Lonchura striata: one gene and its partners. The protein of the gene in region 3 binds, or shares a complex with, the protein of the main gene of each other region. Links are inferred from orthologs where the notes say so. Each region holds a gene or a part of one and is shown on either strand. Other genes may lie near its edges.

The links. The genes of interacting proteins can lie anywhere in the genome.
Region 1: the proteins of EIF2B2 (region 3) and EIF2S1 are in contact, whole or in part, in a cryo-EM structure (PDB 6K71), measured with the Homo sapiens proteins. The link is inferred for Lonchura striata from reciprocal best matches to the Homo sapiens genes EIF2B2 and EIF2S1. Residues at the interface, in NP_055054.1 of Homo sapiens: Glu92, Arg95, Gln128, Ser131, Asn132, Glu135, Ala136, Glu139, Val142, Glu143, Glu145, Glu149, Asn150; in NP_004085.1 of Homo sapiens: Leu51, Ser52, Arg53, Arg54, Ile56, Asn60, Lys61, Leu62, Arg64, Arg67, Lys87, Ser91.
Region 2: the proteins of EIF2B2 (region 3) and EIF2B5 are in contact, whole or in part, in a cryo-EM structure (PDB 6O81), measured with the Homo sapiens proteins. The link is inferred for Lonchura striata from reciprocal best matches to the Homo sapiens genes EIF2B2 and EIF2B5. Residues at the interface, in NP_055054.1 of Homo sapiens: Ser12, Glu13, Glu16, Glu20, Lys23, Arg24, Asp283, Lys287, Phe288, Val289, Ala290, Pro291, Glu292, Glu293, Leu295, Pro296, Phe297, Thr298, Gly300, Asp301, Leu303, Glu304, Val306, Ser307, His309; in NP_003898.2 of Homo sapiens: Glu81, Thr84, Ala85, Thr115, Leu117, Lys186, Glu187, Ser188, Ser189, Ser191, His192, Pro193, Thr194, Leu245, Lys294, Glu295, Tyr296, Asp312, Arg315, Arg316, Trp317, Tyr319, Pro320, Ala325, Asn326, Asp329, Thr336, His337, His340, Asn341.

Annotation. Positions count from the first base shown.
Region 1 is NC_134608.1:32,778,471-32,785,474, forward strand, and holds the start of EIF2S1 (eukaryotic translation initiation factor 2 subunit 1), read left to right. Parts: upstream 1-3,987; 5' UTR 3,988-4,093; intron 4,094-5,879; 5' UTR 5,880-5,880; coding exon 5,881-6,121; intron 6,122-7,004. Other genes in the region: ATP6V1D (V-type proton ATPase subunit D), read right to left, coding at 22-101, 1,172-1,289, 3,681-3,721. UniProt on the Homo sapiens protein: Member of the eIF2 complex that functions in the early steps of protein synthesis by forming a ternary complex with GTP and initiator tRNA. This complex binds to a 40S ribosomal subunit, followed by mRNA binding to form a 43S pre-initiation complex (43S PIC).
Region 2 is NC_134612.1:18,704,382-18,711,362, reverse strand, and holds the start of EIF2B5 (translation initiation factor eIF2B subunit epsilon), read right to left. Parts: upstream 3,018-6,981; coding exon 2,865-3,017; intron 1,802-2,864; coding exon 1,677-1,801; intron 1,310-1,676; coding exon 1,124-1,309; intron 1,028-1,123; coding exon 850-1,027; intron 1-849. UniProt on the Homo sapiens protein: Acts as a component of the translation initiation factor 2B (eIF2B) complex, which catalyzes the exchange of GDP for GTP on eukaryotic initiation factor 2 (eIF2) gamma subunit.
Region 3 is NC_134608.1:23,212,768-23,219,963, reverse strand, and holds the start of EIF2B2 (translation initiation factor eIF2B subunit beta), read left to right. Parts: upstream 1-4,149; 5' UTR 4,150-4,169; coding exon 4,170-4,329; intron 4,330-4,928; coding exon 4,929-5,049; intron 5,050-5,596; coding exon 5,597-5,745; intron 5,746-6,434; coding exon 6,435-6,598; intron 6,599-6,884; coding exon 6,885-6,980; intron 6,981-7,196. UniProt on the Homo sapiens protein: Acts as a component of the translation initiation factor 2B (eIF2B) complex, which catalyzes the exchange of GDP for GTP on eukaryotic initiation factor 2 (eIF2) gamma subunit.

The DNA.
Region 1 (7,004 bases), about 9.6 Mb from region 3:
CAAAAGCCCAGCAATCCTCACCTGAAATCTCCTGCTGTGAACTTCGCCTCAGCAAGTGAAAAGGCAGCTTCTCTCATCACCTCACCCATCAGCATCTTAGTCTGTTTAAAAAAGAAAAGGCAACAAATACAAGGCACATTGTTACTACTTTTCCAGGATAAAAACCTAGCAGCTTAAAGAGAAGAAATTGAAGAGAGTGAGAAAGTCCTATATGCATAGCTTACTCTCAAACTGGTAATTGTAATTCTCAGGTGACTGGCAAAAATAGAGAAATATTTCAGCTGTTTCACATTGTAGAATTCATAGAAAAAGCAAAATATTTGCCTTACTCATTAAATTCTATTACATGGGGGTTAAATAAGAACAATAAAGTGGCTCAGCAGGAAAATATTCTTGTTTCACATTGTATGAAATACTATGAGACAGCTGAAGGTTGTTTTCAGCATACAAATGTATACAGCTTTGTGAAGCTGCACTCTCCTCCCACTCTGTTTTTTCCCAATTTTTACAGATTTTTAGCCCTTGTAGCTAAAAACTATTGAGAAACACCAGCCTTTGTGTTTTAGACAATGTATAGGAAGCCATGACATGATGAGATCTTGTCTACAGTGTGGCAACAAAGGACCACAGCTAACCACGGACTCTGCAGCAGCTGCAGCAAAAACAGTACAACTAAACCCATCTGATAGGGCAGAACAGAACAACACAGAGTAGGCTCCACTGACTATCTCAGATTTGTCATCCATGTTACAAAGAAAGATGCAAGATGTTACAAAGAAGAAACTTTATAGATATGCAGTATTCCCTCAAGCCAGAAAAAGCAATAAAAATGGGGCTACAGAACATTTTAATACCCAAAGTATTTGGCAGTATCAGAGCAAATTCCCTGTAACATAGAAGAGATGATCGGGAACTTGTAAAACAAAAGAGAGCAGAGGCTAAGACTGTCTGGAAAGAGGGGAAGAATATTAACTCTTCCAAGTTTCTGTATCATTGCAGCCACAGAAACATAATGCTGCTCATGTGTTCTCAGTAGTCTCACTTACAAAAAACAGGTTAGCCAGAAAGTCATCCTATATTCCAGCCTATCTAATGAAGTTAGGAGAATAGGAATGCACAACAGACAGAACATTAAAGTGAGCCAAACAAAGGAAAATTCTAATTTACCTACCTCAATAATTTTCTTAAGGATCTGTCTGAATCGAAGTGTCAAAGCATCAGATTTTTTCTTCAAGAGGTTACGACCTGTTTGGGCTCCTTTCAAACGAGCCTTCATGATGGTCTGAGCCCTGGTAAGCAGAGGAATAAAGAAAAAGCATCCTGCATCATCTGAAGAGATTAGGAAAAAACTTAGGTGAAGTTTTCTGACATGTATATGACTGAAATTATGAAGTAACCATGAAACACCATTGCAGTAAAACAGGATGGCCACTTCAGGACAGAATTTTAGATTCCCATTTAAAATCAAGGGAATTTATATTTATCTCCATCATCAATGAGAACTACAAGGTTATTATCTGTGAAGTCAAAACTCATGGAAAATTGACAAGACATCTTTCAGTGCTTCTATAATAGGAAATAAGAGTTTTCATTTTTCTTCATGACTTGGAAGTACCAGAAATCAAACTACTCCAAATACCCAGTGTCGCTGTGACATGGGTATTGCTTTTAAGTTCTTTTACTGCCATGCCACCTTCTCAAAATCAGACAAAGCAAATTCTTCATGTGGTCATAACAGTTGATGCCATGTTTTGATTTTACAGAGCAAGAAGATGCAGCAGTTGTACATTCTGATTTTCCTTATGCTTATATGCTGCATAGGAGATTTACAAGCTATCAAAGACAATCAAAAGCAGCGACAATTTAAAGGGATATTAGTGAGTTAGCTGTAGCTTTCACCTTTACATCCAGTAGCACACTTACAGGTTTCTTGTGTGAAATTAGAAACTGCACTGCTTTCTACATGCAACCACTGTGCACAAAGGACACCGCTTAAGTCAAGTTCTTACACACTTCCTCTCTGACCTTGGAAAAAATAAGTATAATTAAGATTCTTTCTACACAGTGGAATCCATTACTGACCACATCTACTAGTATATGATGAGAGTAGCTCCATTAACATCTACCAAATACGTCTAACTGAAAACCATTAATACTTTATGAATGTTTATGATTTAAAAAAAAATCAGAGAGTAAAAAGGGAACTTTCCCAACAAGCAGGTGGCTGTCATCACCTTGAACTAACTTGTTTGCTCTGTTCACCACCTGCCAGAGACTGGCTCGTCTTCTAGTTCAAGCAAGACCTCACTTGCTCTGAGAGTGCAATAAACAAAGTTTTGTTTACTCTCAAGGAAACTGAGCAACTTCTGGAATTGAAGACATCCAGCACAGAAGAAGAAGCTCATACCAGCAAGCTACTTTATAACAACAACAAAAAAAACCCCAAACCAACATAAAAGGTAAACCTTGTGAAATTCTCTTCTGTCAGGTAACAAAATTATTTGTTGCAGACACAGGTCATCTTTCTTTTGCCATTCTAACTTATATTTCTTTGGGAACAGCACCCACATTATTGCCTATCACCTCGTTTAAAAACGGGCTTGTAAATATTAGGTCTTTGTATATGACCACCCTCATGCCACAGTGACACATCACCTCACAAAACCAAGTACCTTTCAAAAGTGATTGAAGTGCCCCCTCCTTGCACACCTAAACTGAATGGAAAAATGCACTACCAAAGAGCAGGAGTGAGGCCAGATGACTTAATGTATGCAATAATTCATTCCCGTGTATGCAATAGTTTATTTCTAAACTAAATTTCAAAACAAAACCTTTGCCATGTAATGTATTAATCTTTCCATATAAACTGTTACTTTTTATGTCCTGAGCTCCTACAGAGTGAATAATTATTGTTTTATGTTTGAGGGTTTTTGTCCTTCAAGGCATCCTTTTTATTATAAAGATTATGTGCAGGCAACCCATTTTTATGCAAGAAGATTTAAAATAGCCTTTCACCTTAAAGCAAAGTCTGTCTGTCCTGGAGGGTTCTCAAGAGAAACTAAACAGTGTTATTAAACCAGCAATTTTATTCAATTGTTTGCTTTAGTTCCAGTGTTGTTGGCAGCTTTCTAAGCTTTCTCAGGAGACATCTGATTTCATGACAAACAGTTTGCTGTCTGGATCTGGAAAATTACCTGACTGTCCACTACACTGGGAGCACTTTACTTCCTTCTTTTAACGCGCTATGGCCAAGCTCTCGTGAAGCAGTATCCTCTGTTGCAAAGTTATGGGAAGCTGTCGTTCCGTTTGTCCATTTTTCCTACACATACATTCCACAAATTGTTCTTTTTTAGGTAAGGCTTGCGTAATCACATTATTTTAAATATCACACCGGCATCTCGGTGCCGGGCCCTGCCACGTCCCTCTAAGGCCAGACAGAGCTGACGCGGAGCCGGGAAGCAGAAGCTGAAGGTTGGGATCAGGGGCCCTCGGCGGCCCGTCACAGAACCGGGGGAGCCCCGCTCGGCGGCGCGGGGCAACCGGCGGAACGACTGCGAGCGCCGAGCCCCGGTGAGGAGCCCCGAGCGCCCCGAGAGCCGCCGCTCCCGCCGCCTCGGCAACGGCACGGACCCCCGCGCTCCCCCCGGGCGCTGTCCCGACCCGTCCCGGCGGACACTCACATCCGCGAGGGGAAGATCTCGATGCGGTCCTTGGCCGACATGGCTGCGGCGGGGCCGGCTCGGGCTGTCTCCGCTGTCACCGCCGGGGCCGGGGCCGGGACCGGCCGTCGCCGCCGCCCTCACGTGACTCGGCCCCGCCCCCGCGCGAGGCGGGGCCCGCGCGGCGCCGGGCGCGCCGCTCGCGTCACGTGTCTGCCGGGGCCGGCAGGAGGAGACGCGATTGGCTGAGCCCGAGGCTCCGGCCTCCCGCCGCCAGGGGGCGCTCGAGGGGATCGCGACCCCTCTCTCCTCCTCGGCGTCGCGGCAGCTGCGCAGTGGGGCGGCGGCGGCGGGGCGCACGCGGCGGCACGAGCGGAGCCAGCGCGGGACTGGGGTGCGCGAGCGCAGCGCGAGACCGCCCGGGCCGCAGCCAGGTACCGCCGCGCGCGCGGCCCGGCCCTCGCGCGGGGCCCGCGGCCGGGGGGGCCGCGCCGCTCGGGGCCGCGCCCGGCAGCCCGCGGGGCCGCGCCGCTCGGGGCCGCGCCGCTCGGGGCCGCGCGCGGGGCCGCGCCCGGTGCCGCGGGGCCGCGCCCGGTGCCGCGGCGCCCGCGGGCAGCGGCCGTGCCGGCGGCGCCGCTCGGGACCGGCTCCGTTTCTGCGGACGCCGTGCGGCCGAGAGGGCCTCGGCTGAGGCGTGTCCAGCCGCGGGAAAAGCCTCTGAACGCCAGCTTCGGCGCGGTGGGCCTAGTGCTGCTCCTGGGGAACAGAAGGCCAAAATAAAAACCTTGTGGCTGGGGAGAGGAGCGGAGTGGTGTTTGTCCGCTCTTGCTCGCTGTGGCTCGGGTTTGTCGCTTTGCAGTGCGGCTTGCTTGTGTACCCCAGAAGTACCGGCAGGATTGAGCAGAGCTGCATTCAGTAGACTAGAAAGCCAGACCGTAAAGTTTTCCTTTTTAACCTTGGAGTTCTTTGTTCAGCTTCAGCTTACATAAGTTATACAAAACATTCAGAGTGTTTTTATAATGTTTTACTAGTCTGTATTTCCCCTTTCTACAAGTTAAGAATTAAAATAAGGGTGGAAATGGTCTTCTTAATTGTGTGGACATGTGTACATAGCATTTGTCATTATCTGTCTACTCTGATTTTAAATTTTCTTATAGCTAGGAAGCATGAGCAAGGCTGTAAAGATCATGACTTAAAACTGGTGACTAAAATCTTCTGAAGGAGTGAAGCATTTGACTTGGCATCTTGGGCTGCTGCTGGAAAAATTTCCTGTAGAAAAATTTCTGTGTGAAACTTCAAGGCATAGACAACTGAACTAACTTAGACAAAACTTAGACTTTTAAGAGCATATGGATTCATTATCAAAAAAATAAAGCAGTTTAAGTATTCCTTCTTATCACTGCTTGATTATGAAATATTGCTTTTGCCTTTTTTTTTTTTTAATGTATAATGAAGGAATTCTGGTTTTTTTCATGTGACTTTGTTGGGTTTTTTCCCCTCCTGACTGTTGGGGGGCACTTTTTTCCCTTTTCAGTACTTCAGGCCAGGCTAGTTCTGTTCTAAATAATGCCTTTGCTTTCTTTGCTGACAATTGGCCTTTGGAACAGGTCTTGCAGGATTACTCTGAACATCTTGTGCTGAGTTTAAAAGTCATCTAGAGTCTGCTTCTCCTCAGTACTACAGAAACTTCCATCTTGCCTCTTATTTTGTTAGCCTCACATGCTGTCTTATGTGCATACAAAATGCTTCATGAGCACTGCATGCTTCTCTCTTATGTCCTCTTGCTCTTACAGTCCAGTTGATGATCCTTGAGAGTCCCAACTCAGAACTCTGTGAAAATGTTACACTCTGATGACTTTACATGCACGTGAGGTGTGCAGTCCCACCTTTCCACCACTCGAAGAAGCCTTTCCAGTGTTCTGTGTATAGGCAGTATGACAGGTGAAGTGTGTAATGAAGTCTGGGTAGCAAAGCTTTTTCTCCATTAAGGCAAAAAAATAGCATCTTAGGAAATGGTTGTGGTAATAGTATTTGAAATACAAGATAATTTATTACTTAATTTGTACTAAACCCTAAGTACAACCTTATCCTAATTGCTACTTTTTCTGCCACTGTTCTTCTCTATTGTCCCCAGTCTTTGCTGGTCTATTGCCGTGTTTGTAGGAGGAGGCAGTGATGTACTGTGAAATAAAACCTTTGATTTTTCTGCTTGAATTCCAGAATGCCGGGACTAAGCTGTAGATTCTACCAACATAAATTCCCCGAGGTGGAAGATGTAGTGATGGTCAACGTTCGGTCCATTGCTGAAATGGGAGCCTATGTCAGCCTGCTGGAGTACAACAACATCGAAGGCATGATCCTCCTCAGCGAGCTGTCCAGGAGACGCATCCGGTCCATAAACAAACTCATCCGCATCGGCAGGAACGAGTGCGTCGTGGTCATAAGAGTTGACAAAGAGAAAGGTATCTGGGCCTGTGGTGGGCTCTGTCAAGATTGAATTTGTAGACAGAAATGCAGATGAACTAAGCAGGTGTTTGTGGGTTTTGCTAGGACTACTTTTTTTGAGCATTGAAATAAAATAGACCATCACTGACCATACCTATGATTGTTCTTCTATTCCTCTTTGTTCTTTGGGAATTGGGTTAATGAAAGCAAATAAACATCAGTAAAAATTTAAGTGGGTCCTCACCAGATCAGTCACTGGACTATAGTGAAGTGAAATTTTCTTTTGGTATCTGTGTAGATTTTCTAAGTCAGCTGAAGAGAAGCATCATTTGCTGTAGATTCCTAGATGCTAAGCATTTAGTGCTGACAATCCATCCTGTTTGTTAACAAGTCTCAAACCTTATTGATAAAGGTGATGACAAGTATGTAATCATTGTGAATTCTGTAGGGAAAAGTTAGAATTGTACAGGTAGTTTTAGTTTTCCTGTCTTTTGAACATTTGAATCTTTGAAGGTTTTTTAAATGTAATTTCTATTGAGAAAATTTCAGATTTTGATAATATTATTCCACGCAATCTCTAAAATCTCTGTCCAGATGTACAGAAATAATAAACACTGAGCATGTCTCCTAGAAATATTAACTGTTGGTATGATGTTTCTCAAGTTAAATGCTCTTTTAGAATACTTCTGAGACTGCAGTTAACTCTGAGAATAAATAATGAATGACAGGATAAGGAAAAGCAGAGACAAAAGAAGGGCAAGAATAAACTTATTGCAGATAAATCTGAAGTGAAATAAGTTTCCCAACATCTCTAATGAAATTATACTTTTACTAATTAATCTTGTTTTCATATTAACAGAGAAACACATCTGGAATTCATCTAGTGGTCTTTTATTGAAC
Region 2 (6,981 bases), on a different chromosome or scaffold from region 3:
CAGCTGGGAGTCAGTTTTGTATTGTTGGGTTTTAGTTGTTTTTGGCTTTTCCTTTTCTGTTTACTACAGTGGTTTGTACTTCCATTTGAAGACATGAAATAATCTCCTGATTACTGATTTGAGGATGAAAATATTATACAATCACAGCCTTAGTCCTGAGTTGAAGAAAGAAACTGGCCCATCTATCTCATGGAGAAAGAGGCTCCACAGACATTTACAGAGCATTTACTATATTACTAGGTGAACAAACAGGTAAAAGGAGGTACCACTCCTTGCACCTCTGTAATTCCACCCATGTCAGGCTCAACAACAAACAACACTTCAAAAAGGAAAGGGTTGTTAAACACTGGAATGGACTTCCCAGAGAGGTGCTGGTGTCCCACCCCTAGAGGTGTTCAAGAAATGACTGGACGTGCCATGGTCTAGTTGACAAGGTGCTGATCAAAGGTTGGACTCTCTGATGTCAGAGCTCTTTTCCAACCTAACTGATTTGGTAAAAATGGTCTGTGTATGGTAGTGGTATATGCACCCCAATTTGGGAGCCCCTGTGATATCACAAAATCTCTCCCTTGTTTTACATCATGGAAAGGAAATAAAGGGCAAAACCTGAACTCTGAGAAATCATCTGCCTCATGCCCAAACTGGAATGAGTCACAAACATGTGTGTCCCAGCACAATTTCACCACACCTCAAATAAAGATTAAAGGGGGAAAAAAGCCAGTTTACCCCAAGTTACTTCCTATCATTTGCTCCTCCAAGAGGAGCAGCTGGGACAGCTCCCCAGCCCTCATTCAAGGAGGATCTCCTCAGGTGGGCTGCACTTTTCCACCTGCCAGGCTCCAGACGCACCATAGGAAAGCGGAATCGTTTCAGCCCCTGCGTCCTCTGGTAGTGAAGGACACGGTGTGTGGCACTGTCCATGGCAATAACAATGTCATCCTCCTTGCACCTGGCATGGTGGCCAGGCGAGGACTCCTTGAATATCATGGTCATCACTGACACATTCTTTTCCATCTTACGACGCAACCTGAGAAAGGAGGGCAGAACTATGAGAACACTCCTCAGAGAACTACAGACTGCAGTCTCAGCACACCAGGCAAGCATCCACTCTCCCAGCACCTACTTGTGCTCTTCCAGGGCTTTGGATATGTTGAAGTTGGACACCACGTCGCCGGTGACCAGGATGAAGTCGGAACGAACGAGGGACTTGGCATCCACGTCCCGCAGCACGTCACCAAGGGAGCGGTACAGGTCCGAGGTGACAAAGCGCACTGTGTTGGGAGACGTGTGCCGGCACCACTTGGATTTTCTGCAAGAAGGAAAAGATCCATCAGGAAGCCATAAAGAGGCTGTTCCCACAGACACACAGTGTCCCAGTGTGTGCCACACCTACAAGGGGTTACAAAGAGCAGCATCCTGTGACAGTGAGCCTGCTATTGCCGAGCTCAGGTACATTCAGAAGGGAAACTGAGGAGCTGTCCCACAACACTCAATCCTTTTAACACACTGCACAACCACCCTCCTACACAGCAGGGACAGTCTCTTCTGAGATATGCTGGGAGACCACTGCTGAAAGCGTGTCTCTTGCATAAGAATCAGTGAGGTCTTTTGAGGCTTGTTGGAGGGCAGATGAATACTTTCCATGATAAAACTAAAAAGAAGAAGAGAATTCTTACTGCAAATGCTCTTTTATTTCAGCTGACTTCCAACAGCAGAAAACAAAGGTTTCTTCCACTCCAGTTGCTGTAAGGAACTCCAAGGTATAATCAATTATGGCCACATTTGCCATAGGTAAAAGAGCCTGAAAAAAAAAAACAATACCAAAAAATCCATACAGATAGCTGAACAGCCAACATCAGCAACAGTCCCTTCCAACTTGGGGATTTAATGTCATCAATAGTACCAGAAACATAACACAAGTAACTGCTTCACCAGGTTTTATAAAAATCTTTTTGAGATGAACTAAACAGTAAGAACTAACTTGCAATTTTCTAGAGGTAGATCCTCAGTTCACAAAGGAAGGCATAAAAAAGTGAAGTTATCACTGAAAACTGTTCAAGAAGACTCAGATAAATGACAGACACTGGAAAAAAAAAAGTGCTGATTCCCTGACTTAGGCTTTGACTGCTTCAAGAAAAACCTGTCAGACATGAATGATGAAGCCAGAGGAATATGAGTGTCCAGAATTAAACAAGGGGAAAAAACCCTCAACCTAAAGTGAAGTAAGTACTCTCTTGACTTGAGATTCAACTCACACTTTTAAACTGAGTTACTGAGTCACACCTGAGTGATGGCATACCATTCCTTAATTCATTTTTGGTGCTGTTTCATTTCAGGCCGGAGCTCGCGTGTATAATTACAAGCACCACCAACACTTAATCAGCAAAGGAGGTGAGATAATTATTCAGACCTAAAGTCTCCAGAAACCTTTTATGTTCCTTTAACACAATCTTTGAGCTGGATAATTAAAGTACATCCCCATCCATTTTTCTGGCCATATCCTTTCACGCATTACAGCCGCAAAGAGCCAAGATTACGTTTTATTCCTTTATCAGAAACAAACCTATCCAAACCCGCTGCCAGCCGTGCACCAGCCACAGGCGAGGAGCCGACAGCGCAGCTCGCCACGCCATATGGAAAAGCGGTCAGCACCGACACAGCGACCGATGCTCGGACAGAAACTCCCACGGGCGAGAACCGCCGGAGCGCAGGAGGGCGGGAGAAGCCTCGCCCCCTCCCGGCCCAGCCCGGCCTCTCGCCGGATCCCTGCCCACCCCGGCCTCCCGGGGACAGTGCACACCGGACAGGCGGCCCCGGAGGCACCGGCGCGGCGCAGGCAGCAGCACCCAGAGGGGATTTCTCACCCGCGGCCGGTCCTTGGAGATGGGGAAAAAGCGGCGGTTGAAGCTGTCGGCGACCAGCACGGCCTGGAGCGGCGGCGGCGGCTCCTCCTGCGGGTCGGGGCCGCGGGCGGAGCCCCCGCCCGCCCCGCGCCGCGCGGTACCGCGGGCCGCCATCGCCGCACGCGGCCGCCGCCGCTTCCGCTTCCGCTCGCGACGGGAGCGGCAACGGGCGCCCGGCGGGGACACAACAGCGCGGGGCGGCGCGTCCCGGCGGGAGCGGGGCGGGAGCTGCGCCTTGCCGCTCCATCCTCTCCTTCCTCCTGGCGTCACCCCCAGGTGGCCCCGGGGTGTGTGACCCTGGTGGTGTCTGCTTTTGGGAGCAGAGATGTTTTCTGATACACTTCCTAGCAGCGATGTCTTTGTGCTGCGTTTCCAAATGTCCAGAGGCTCCTTCTGCAAAGGACAGCCGGGATGCGAAGCAGCCCGTCAGTGCACAGCTCGCACCTGCCATCAAAAAGCTGTCCCAAAACCCGCAGCCCCTGAGGGACCCCTCGGAGCCCGCTCAGAGACCCTTCCAGAGCGGATGGGAGGAAAGAAGACGTGGTTTCCGAGGACTGGGGTGGCATTTTTGTTCCCCTCAGCTTGGTGAGGCAGCTGTGGTGCTGCAGTGCTGGTGTCTGCCTGTCCCCCTGCTCGGACACTGCCGCTTCCATGGATCTCGCTTCCCTCGGCATTCCTGCCCCAGCCCAGGCTCCGTCCTCGCACGGCTCTGATGGTGCTTCCACACTGTCCTGGTCCTCAGAAGGGAATGGGCCATGTCCAGCCCTCAGCACAGAAAACCTGCTCTCAGCTGGGTCCTCGGAAGGGAATGGGCCATGTCCAGCCCTCAGCACAGAAAACCTGCCCTCAGCTGGGTCCTCGGAAGGGAATGGGCCATGTCCAGCCCTCAGCACAGAAAACCTGCCCTCAGCTGGGTCCTCGGAAGGGAATGGGCCATGTCCAGCCCTCAGCACAGAAAACCTGCCCTCAGCTGGGTCCTCGGAAGGGAATGGGCCATGTCCAGCCCTCAGCACAGAAACCTGCCCTCAGCTGAGTCCTTCTGCCTCTCCCTGCCGCCGGTCCCACGGCTGCAGGATTTACCTGGCACAGTTCTCACAGCACCGCCACCTGCTCTTTGTCACCGAGGAAATCACTGTGTGATCACCCTGCATTCAAAACCAGGAAAACAGGCTGAAAGATCTCCCTAGGGAGCTCCTAACTGGATGGCAGCAGAAGGGCTATGGAGAGTCCTGAGCCTGGCAGCAGGACAGCCCATTCCAGTGCTGGCTGCTGCAGGACCTGCTGCTCGCTGCCTTGCCCCGTTGTCTGCCCCTCTCCACATGGGACAGGCATTCACAGCCCCTGCTCTGTCACCTCACCAGTCTCTCTTGCTGCCCCTCAGTCCCCACAAATTGACCCAAATTGACCCCTGCTCTGGTCCTCGCTGCTGTTATCTGCTACTGAGTGAGAAGCCAAAAACTTAAAGAGTCTCAAATTCAACTGTGGTCTGAGAGAAGCACAGGGCATTTGCACCCCCACCTCTGTGGCAGGGCCTCTCCCAAGGGCGGAAGGTGGTACATATTTATCAGCCCAACGCACACAGTATGGCAGAGGGAGGGAAATTAAGGGAGGCACCACTTAACCACAGACCTACAGCACTGCTCCAATGTTGTGGGCAGTGCTGTACACCCCTCGTGGCATTGGCATTGCAGAGAGGTCTTTAGTAAAGGGAAGAAAGCTGTAACAGGCAACATGCCTAATTCCTCCCCTCTGATTGGACTGCAGGTCCAGGACTGATGTAGAAAACAAAGTCTCTGTCTCCTGAAGGACTCTGCAGCATTGGGCATTCCCTGAAATTTCCCTGAGCAGTTAAAATGTTCAGGCATCACTTACGTAGTGCCATCTGTGCCCAGTGATTTGTGACCGAGCCCTTGCTGTGCCACAGCTTGCAGTTGAGTTGCTTGACCTTAGCTACTGGTCTGGAAAAAAGCAGCAAGGATGGACACAGCAAGAAAGTAGAAAGGAGCTGCCCGTGGGAAGTAAATCATCCTCATCCTTTTCAAAAATAGGTATCTGCATACCCTTGGGAATTCTGTTGCCCTGGCAGAAGAACTAACTCCAGAACAAAAGCTCCCAGATGGTTTCAGTCCAGGGGTTGCAGCTTGAGGAGTGATCCAAGAGGTGGATTTGTCATTGCCTGAGGGCAGGACGAAATCTTAGTTCCTGTCTGTGTGGAACTAAGTGCATAAACAGCACCAGAAATCAGGTCTGATCCAGCCTGCACAGCCACTGCGTGTGTTTGGACCGGGCAGAGAGGTTGACAGGGGAATCAGCAGATTATCTGGCTAATTACATCCTGTTCTCTCCAAATGAGGTGAGTTTCCAAGACGTTGCCCTGGTAAATTGGCAAGAACAGGGGAAGACAAATCAAGGTAATTGCTAATGAACTAAACTCCAAATCAGCTTGATAAATATTCCTCAGGCTTTGCAGACATGTTTTCCTTTGGTCTCACCAGGAACTTGCAGTCCAGCAACATCAAGGCCAAATATTTTCTGAAAGCAATGTAATTCCAGGGGAGCTTTTAAAACTGAAATTACCTAATGAAAATTGAGATGAGATGGAACTGGGTTTGACTGGAGGTCTATCAATCCCAGTATCCCACAGTGCCTGGGCAGGGTGGTGGGAAGACATAGAGACTGTGGGACTTTTCCTTGCTGCCTCATCCTTGGATATCCCAGGACAGAGCACACACCCTGGACAGGGCAGCATACACTGACTCTGGGAATGATGAGCCTGGTGGGGATACTCTGCTTTCTGAGACATCTTTCTGGTCCCTGTTCCTGCATTTTAAACCCTTTTCTCTTTTCATTTATTTTCTCTGAGCATTTGGTTATTTCCTGACTGTTCCCTCTGCAGACACAATGCCCCATGAGGCATCTCCAATGGTAGCTTCTGGTTTAGTCCTATCTTAGACAGCTTTGGGGCCCCACAGGGGCTGAGTGGAATCAGGGGCTCCCCAGAGTGGTGAGACTTGCAAAGAGGAGGGTCACAGGAACTCTGCATGGAAGAACCATGTACCTAACACAAGGCTTATTTCCCCTCACATGTCCTGCCTGGTGGCCAGCAGCTCTGATGCCCTTAGAGCATCCTTCTGTGCCTTCAGTAGAGCTATGAGACTTCTGTCATCACAGCTCCAGATCAGGGATGCAATTAGTGCCTAAACTCAGCTCTTCTTGGCCCACTGCATGTTGGCAAGGAGCCTGGTTTTCCTTGGGCTATTCCCACACAGTGGCAGAGGTGACAGGGGCAGGCCATGAACCCTGGCACATGGAACCCTGGGCACTCAGGGCAGTGTCCTGGACTTACCTAGGACAGCTGACACTCACTTGGCAGGTCTAAAGAGGGGTCTGCCTGCCCCAAGCACCTGTGGAGGAGCTCCTGCCCTTCAGAGAGGAGGTAGGCAATGGCCAGGACATGCACATTGTCCAGTCCTCTTATACATCTGAATGACTCTGTGCCTGACACAACATTTACCTGAGCACTGAACTAAATTCTGCAGGGAAAAATAAAACTGTAGACCACAAGTAAGTCAGTAATCATGAAAGCCAGACATATTCTACACCCCAACCCTTCTGCCTCCCTCCTTCCCATGCCCTGGGCTCTGGCCAAGCAGGGACAGCAGGGATACTGACTCACAGGATATTCATCTACTCTTTGCTCATTTGGGCTTCTCCTGTTCTCCTCAGCAGAGAGTTTCTGCCAGATTAACTGCTGGGCCTCGTCCGCTCCTGGATCCTGGGTTGACAGACTTGAGAAGGTGAACCAGACATGAGGCCACCCTGTCTGCATCCCCCTGTGTTTCCAGTTCCTCTGGGGTAGTGCTTGCAGAACTCCTTGGTATTCCTTTCCACCACATGTGCCCAGCATCCCCCACCTGCTAACAGGAAGAATGCATTACTGCTGCCTGAGCTCTGGGCTACCACAACTCCCTGTACTCAGCTGCTGCTCTACCAGCTGGGACATGCAAGGAGACAGGAGCTGCTCTCAGCACTTCCCCAGCTGCCAGAATATGGAGACAGGGCAGGAGGGGTCCATTTG
Region 3 (7,196 bases):
GCGTCCCATGCACCCTCGAGTGGTGGCAGGGCCACAGCCAACACCTGCATGGTGCCACTGAGCTTTCTGAGCACTTGTGCCTTTGGTGGCAGCAAAAAAAGCCAATGCCTTCTCAGGGTTTGAAGGTCCAGGACACTAATAGCAATGCAGAGGACAATCGCTCCCACCCAGCTCTGCAGCATGCTCCCTCATCCCTTGCTAGAACTTGTTTTCCTACATGACATGCAGTGACTTCCCACACTTCCCTCACCTCTTCCTGACCAGCCTGGCCTTTGAACCAGCTGCCTCCAGCTGCCTGTATCACGAGGGAGACCTGGGCTACTGCCATAGATGAATGAGCCGACGAGTGAGGCTCCACATCCAGGGCAGGCATTTAGACGCCAGCTTCCCATGCCTCTCCCAGGGGCTGGGAAGAGCAAGAGGCAGCCCAGCCCAGGCTGATTCCACAACAAGCCCTAGAAAAACCTTCATGCTTCCCAGCCTTGGTCTCTATTTTTAAGGCACCTAAAAGGAGGGGGGCACAAATTACAAACTTGCTGGCAGGAGAGACGGTCCCTGGGCCTGATTCAGAACCGCCTACTCATTTTCCATAGGGATTGTGGACTCCATTGGTACCGCAAGGGTCTGGCTATGGGCTTGGCCTGCCTGTGTGTGCTGTGCTGACGTGAGGATGAGACAGCAGCCATTTTCCAGGCAGAGACAAGCGCACGTACACACAGGAGGCCAAGCCAGGAGCTGCACCAAATGCTTTGCTAACCTGAGGTACTGAATCCATCCTGTTATTCCCCTTAGCAATGCCTGCCTGTTTCCCCTTGGCCACCCAGGCAGTTATGGCAGCCAGGCTTTCCTGAGGATGACCGGTTTAGGAGACAGCTGTTACCAGAGTCATCAGCGAAGATGAGCAGAACACATGCCCTGGTACCTGCAGCGTCAGACGTGAATTTCAAGCATGCCAAAACTGCCGATGACTCAGGCAATGTGTTCGTGTGCCTGAAAAGCCACAGAGCTCAGCTGTCCAGCTATTCATGTACCTGCATTTGATCAGCAGCTGTTTGTTTGGGCTTTTTGTCTTCTTTCCCTGGAAGCTTGAGTTTTAAACATGCATTCCACACTCAATTCAGCTCATCATTTCCATCCTCTTCGCTTACTAAATGACCTACTTTCTCCCCCGTAGCACACAGAAAGCGCTGGTTTGGGCTCCCTTCAGCAGATTCATTCCTGCCTCTACATCTGTGACTGCAAAAGCTTTGTTCTTGATTGTTTTGTCTCAGGCCTTTGAGCACAGGTTTTCTAAAGAGCAACCTGTCACACCAATGATACCTTAGTCCATCCTTCCCCTTAGACTGTGCTCAGTTCTCCCCACACCCATGCACTGTGACCTCCTTAATTCAGTCACTTGTGCTCAGCAAGTGGTTTAGGCACCCAGCAGTAATGCTGCTTCTGCCATGTCACCCACCCAGGCTTCACAGCCCACACCGAGCTGACAGCCTGCTCTGCTGCTCCTGCTGGGCCCTGGCTCATCTGTCTCTCCTCTGCTGGCTCCTTTCTTTGCCTGTGCTGAGCCTGAGCAGCTCGCTTTGCTTACCCAACTCTTGCAGATGAGTCCAATTACTAGAGTTCAGCAAACTGATTCCCCTCCCTGGCATTTTATCCAGCCCACTTATCCACTGAGAGTTTCTAATCCAAACAGCCCTCCCAGCACACGATGTTCCAGTGCTCCCAGGCTCTACCCAGCCTCTGTCCTGCCTTGTCCTCCCTCACATGAGCACTTGGGGGATGACATTCAGCCCCCAGGGATGCAGAATTCCCTGGGCAGAGGGAAGCAGCGTCTCCAGCAGTCAGCCCTGATGGTACAGAGCAGGATGCCATCCTGGCTAGGCTGGCAGCTCTCCAAGGAGGTGAGACAGTTTCAGCCCCTCTGCAGGTCCATAAAACGTGCTGCCATGCTCGGCTGGCCAGCTCATTCCCTGCTCAGCTCTTCTGTGCACATAACCAGCACTGTGTGCAGCTGTGTCAACCTCCTTGCTTGCTTGTGCACCAGCTGGGAAGCTGCAGCCACCACCTCTGCCCAGGGTACAGGGGGAAAGAAGGAGGGTGGGCTGTGCAGGAGGCAGTTCCTTGTGGCTGTGGGGTGCTGATCCATAACACCCAGCAGCTGTGGACCAGCAGCTGAGACTCCTTCCAGCTGCACAGGGCTGCACCTCACCACCCCCCATCGCTTCTGCCACAGTGCCACAGCCTGCAAGGCAGTGGGAATTTAGAAGAGTGCACCAGGGCACCAACATGCATCTTCCCTTCCCCACTTGCCCTACACTCCCTGTGCTGTTTTTGCTGCCTGTCCTCGCTGCCCATCCTCCTCCTCAATGCCTTCTTTTCAGTCCTGCTGGGCAGTTCCTGTCTAACTCATTGGGTCCTGACAGCAGCAGCTGGCTACTGACGTTGGCTGTCTCGTAGGCATGGTCCCTCTGAGCAGCCTGGGGTTTGCCTCGCAGCTCTCCAGAGAGCCCCAGGTTTTGGCTCAGCTCAGCTCTGCAGAGCTAACGGCTCCCGAAATCCCCATTCAGAAGCTTTCATTCATGAAACACAGGGCACCAGACCAAGTGCAGGACTCTGTCCCTCAAGGGACACCAGACTGCCAGCTGCCTGAACTAGCTGTGGCAGCAGTGCCCGGCAGAAAGTGCTGCAGGGAAAAGAACAGAAACAGCACAAACGGGAAAAGCTCTGCTGGCTGGCCAAGCGCTGGGAAAAACCGGCCCTGCAATAGTTACTGGGACCAAAGCAGGGAATGTAAACAGCCAAGCATCCACAAGGAGGTCATAACCTCAGAGCCTGGTTTCCCTTCCTCTTCTCCATCCTGTCTAATCTCCAAGAGCTGCTCTGTTTACTAGCAAGATAAGTAAACAAACAAAGGAAAGCTACAATGCAGTGATTTTTATTTTTCTGGCCAATCCACAGGTCCCAGTTCCTGGGTGCACATATGGGAGCTGTTTCTGCACACCAAGGCAGCTGGCACATGGCACTGCAGGACCAGCAGCAGGCAGCTGATGGGCACAGGCAGCCTCCCCAGCCCTGCCTGTAAGTTTGCAGAGGGGCAAAGGGGGAATGGGGTTTCCATGCACAAATGCAGAGCTGTGCAGAACTTGCCCCACGGAGCCTCTGATTTACACACTCTGGAAGAAAACATACACCTAAATCTGGGGAGAAGGAGGAGACAAGGCAGCAGGGAACCAGGACATGCCCAGTTGGCACAGTGGGGACCAACACAATGGGGCCAATAGCTGGGCAAACCCTGTCACCTTCTACAGATTTTCTCCAGGGGCAAAGGAGGGGATAAACTCATCATGGAATGAAACTCTGACTTTTGTCCAGGGCTGCAACACCCCCCGAGCACATCCAGCCAAACTCAGATGTGTGACCTTTTGCCAGGCGTTGGAGGGATAGGGCAAGCTTCCTTCCCAGGCTGCTGGGCTCTCCGGCTTCCAGGCACACAGGGGCACTTGAGGAAGCAGGAGGAGAAGAGGCATGGAAGGACTCTCAGTCCCCTGCACGCTTTGGGTGACAAATCACCTGCATTAATCACCCCATCAGAGCCAGCACAGCAGCTGTTGGTATTTTGCTGGCGACCCAGCAGTCCCGGGACAGAGAGCTCGCTGTAGGGCGAGTCCTAAGCTAACCAGACGAACGCAAAGATGTCATGAACATCCAAGGCTCTACAGGCCTCGGCATGAAGCAATCACTGAAAGCTTCCAGCATACGCCTGTTTGCTTTTATTTCCTGATCTCAAACAACAGGACACAGACCAGAGCGATAGAGTAGCACGGCAATGAGAATTATTCCATGGCTCCTGCCTGTTCCCTGGACACACTGCTCCAGGAACTAGACACAAAGGAGCTACATTCCTGCCTTATCCAGGGCCGGCTCTGGCTCTGCCAGCAAGAACAATGGGACTGCCAGGAACTGCGCCTTTCCCAGCCCGTTTGATTTGGCTCCTCGCAGGCGGCCACGGCCGCTCCAAAGCAAACGCGGCCATGGCGCCCGGCCCCGCCCGGCCGAGGCTCCGCCCACCACCGGGCGCGCCCCCATTGGCTGAGCGCCGCCGAGGGGCGGGCGCAGCTCGGCAGGCTCCGCCAATGGGACGGCGGGGGGGCGGAAGCGGAAGCGCGGCCGCCATGCCGGGCGCGGAGCGCGGCTCGGAGCTCTCGGAGCAGATCGAGGCCTTCGCGGCGCGGCTGCGGCGCGGCGGGGAGCGGCCGCGCTCCGAGGACACGGCGCGGCAGACGCTGTCGCTGCTGCGGAAGATCGTCGGGCACGGGCGATGGAGCCGGGCCGGTGAGAGCCGGGCGGCGGCGGGCGGACGCAGCGCTTTCCCCGGGCGGGCGCAGCTCCCCCAGCGCCGGGAGCGAGGCGGCGGCGGGGCCGCGGGAGGGCAGTTCCCCCCGGTGGCGGCTGTCGGGTGCAGAGGGATCCGGCGCAGGCCCCAGGCGGGGCTGGCGGGAGCTGGGGCCTCGCTGGCAGCGACCGGCGGATTCGCAGTGCCTGTCCTGCCGCGGCGGGGCCCTTCCCTGCCTGCTGTGCTCCTCACCTGAGGAGCTCCCCTGCTCCAGCCTTCCTCTCCCCTGAGCGGCGTCAGTCCGAGCACTGACCTCTCCAGCAGCACGTGGTTTCCTCTTTCAAAGGAAAGTCCAGATGCGCTGCTGATGGGCTTCCCTTGGGTCTGTGTTGTGTCCAAGCGTTTCCGACTGCAAAACCCACCAGTGGAACCGGCTGCTTTGTGAGAGGCTCTCTGCTCGCCCCTTCCTGGTGTTTCTTGGTGCTGTGGTCCTTGTGCTGGAGCAGCTGCTGGCCCTGGGATATTGAGAGGGGTGCTGGTTTGATGCTCACGTGGACTTGCTCTGGGCAGTGGTAACCAAGGCCCTCCCCTCTTCTAGGGGAGCTCATGGATCTGATCCGGACAGAGGGCCAGAGGATGACAGCAGCCCAGCCATCAGAGACAACAGTGGGCAACATGGTGCGACGGGTGCTGAAGGTCATTCGTGAGGAATATGGCCGGTAAGGTGCCCCTCTTTTTCCCTGTATCTCTCTGAAAACCCAGAACTGCCCTTTTAAGTTGCTTCTGTAATACTCCTTTAGTTTCCTTCACCTCCTTTCCCCACCTCTTCCAGAGAGGTATTCAGGGAGTTTAACACCAAAGGAAGCCCCGTTGATTCCACTGTGGGTGATGACATTTCCTCTTTAGAAACCACTTGGTGTATGTGCTGTGAGTGCATGAGAACAGTCTGTGCCCTGGCCTTGGGTTGTTCTCTCTGTCTGTGCTTAGGGGCGTGCATCCCACTGGAGCAGTAGCCTCGAGCCTGCTCCTTGTCTATGGACAGCAGTATTTGCACGTGTCTTAAGAAGGCATTTTCTGGTAGAGATTTGGGTGTTTTTCTGCCAAGACACCTATGGAAACTTTTTGGTGTGGCATGGTGTGCCTCCTGTGGGTGGCTTTCCTTCCTGTCTCTTCACATCCAGGTGTGCCACACTGTGGGGACAGTGCTCAGCCTGGCTGCAGCCCTGTGCTCCTTCCTGAGGCTGAAGTGGCCACTTCTCTCCACAGGCTTCACGGGCGCAGTGAGGAAAGTGACCAGCAAGAATCCCTGCACAAGCTCCTGACTTCTGGAGGACTGAGTGAAGATTTCAGAACCCCTTACCCCTCCCTCAGAGCTAATGTTATTGAAGCTATTAATGAAATGCTAATTGAGCTAGGTACGGATGGGTCTGAATTGCTCCTGAGTGATGATTCTTATGGAATGGGACTGATGCTTCCCTGTTCTCTAGGTGAAATAATAAGGATCTGGGAGGCTTAATCTGAAGGAACTAAGGGACCAAAGCCCTGCTGCTCCCAGGACTTAGTTTTAAGTCTCTCTGGCTTATGGGGAGAGGGGTAGATTGTGGAAGGAGCAATATGTAGGCCTGCACTCTTGGTCTTCTGGGAAGTCTTGAGTCCTGTGAAGAAGAGTGTAAAATCCCTGTGCACATATAACCTAACTCTTGTCACAAAGATACAATTTTCTTTCTCTGCAATTCTTGTGACAAATCAGGCATCTTTCTGAGGCCAAATTTGCCCCGCTATTGAACTACAAAACTGTTGAAGTTTTGTGGGTCTTGTGATTATCTGGAGTAGTGCTGACACAATCCACTCCCCTCACAATGGAGTTTTCAGTACAGCTATTTTTATATATAGTGAGAGTATAGCTAGGGAGCATGGAGCATTCAAGGGCAAGCTTCTTGGTTCCACTCCAGTGGCAAAAAGAATGGGGAGAAAAGCTGCGCCTGCTCTTCCAGTGCTAATAACTTTGTCTTAGTGAAAAATGATCTTGTTGGAGGACAGTCCTAGCAGCACAAGTGTTGCTGTTGCTGGCTGCTTTTACACCCACATCTTCCTTCTGTTACAGAGGGCACCACTGATAACATTGCTATGCAGGCACTGGAGCACATCCACTCCAATGAGGTGATCATGACCATTGGCTACTCACGCACTGTTGAAGCCTTCCTGAAGGAAGCAGCTCGCAAGCGGAAGTTCCAGGTCATCGTGGCAGAGTGTGCACCATTCTGCCAGGTAAGGCCTAGGCTGGCTGCAGCATATTGTTCTACGCATTCTTACTGAAATCTTGTGTCTGGAATCAAGATGAACATTATGGAAATTCCTCTGCAGTTGAGAAATTGGAGATTCAAGTGCCTCACTCAATATTATCCTACCCCAGCATCCTTGAGTTGAAGGGCTGTGTTCAGGTGTCATTATTTGGTATTTTTGCAGTTCAGACAAGAATTGAGTGCTGATACCTTTACAATTACACTGCAGGAGCTATGTTACAGGGAACCAATTGGATTCTCCCTCTTTTTAGGGTCATGAAATGGCTGTCCGACTGTCTAAAGAGAATATTGAAACTACTGTCATGAGTGATGCAGCTATTTTTGCTGTCATGTCTCGAGTCAATAAGGTAAGGAGGGCTCCACTGGAGGAGGGATTTCATAGCAGACGGAGTGCTTAGGCCTCTCAAATCAGCTGCAAGTCCCAGCAGTGATGGATGTGTCTCTTCACTGAAGACTCAAAATTGTAATAGTCCCTGTTCACTTCTAGGGTGGAGATTCAGTGTGAGCTCCAAGTCAGGATGATGACTGACTGAGTGGTAACAGGTTTTTCTGGCTTTGTGGCT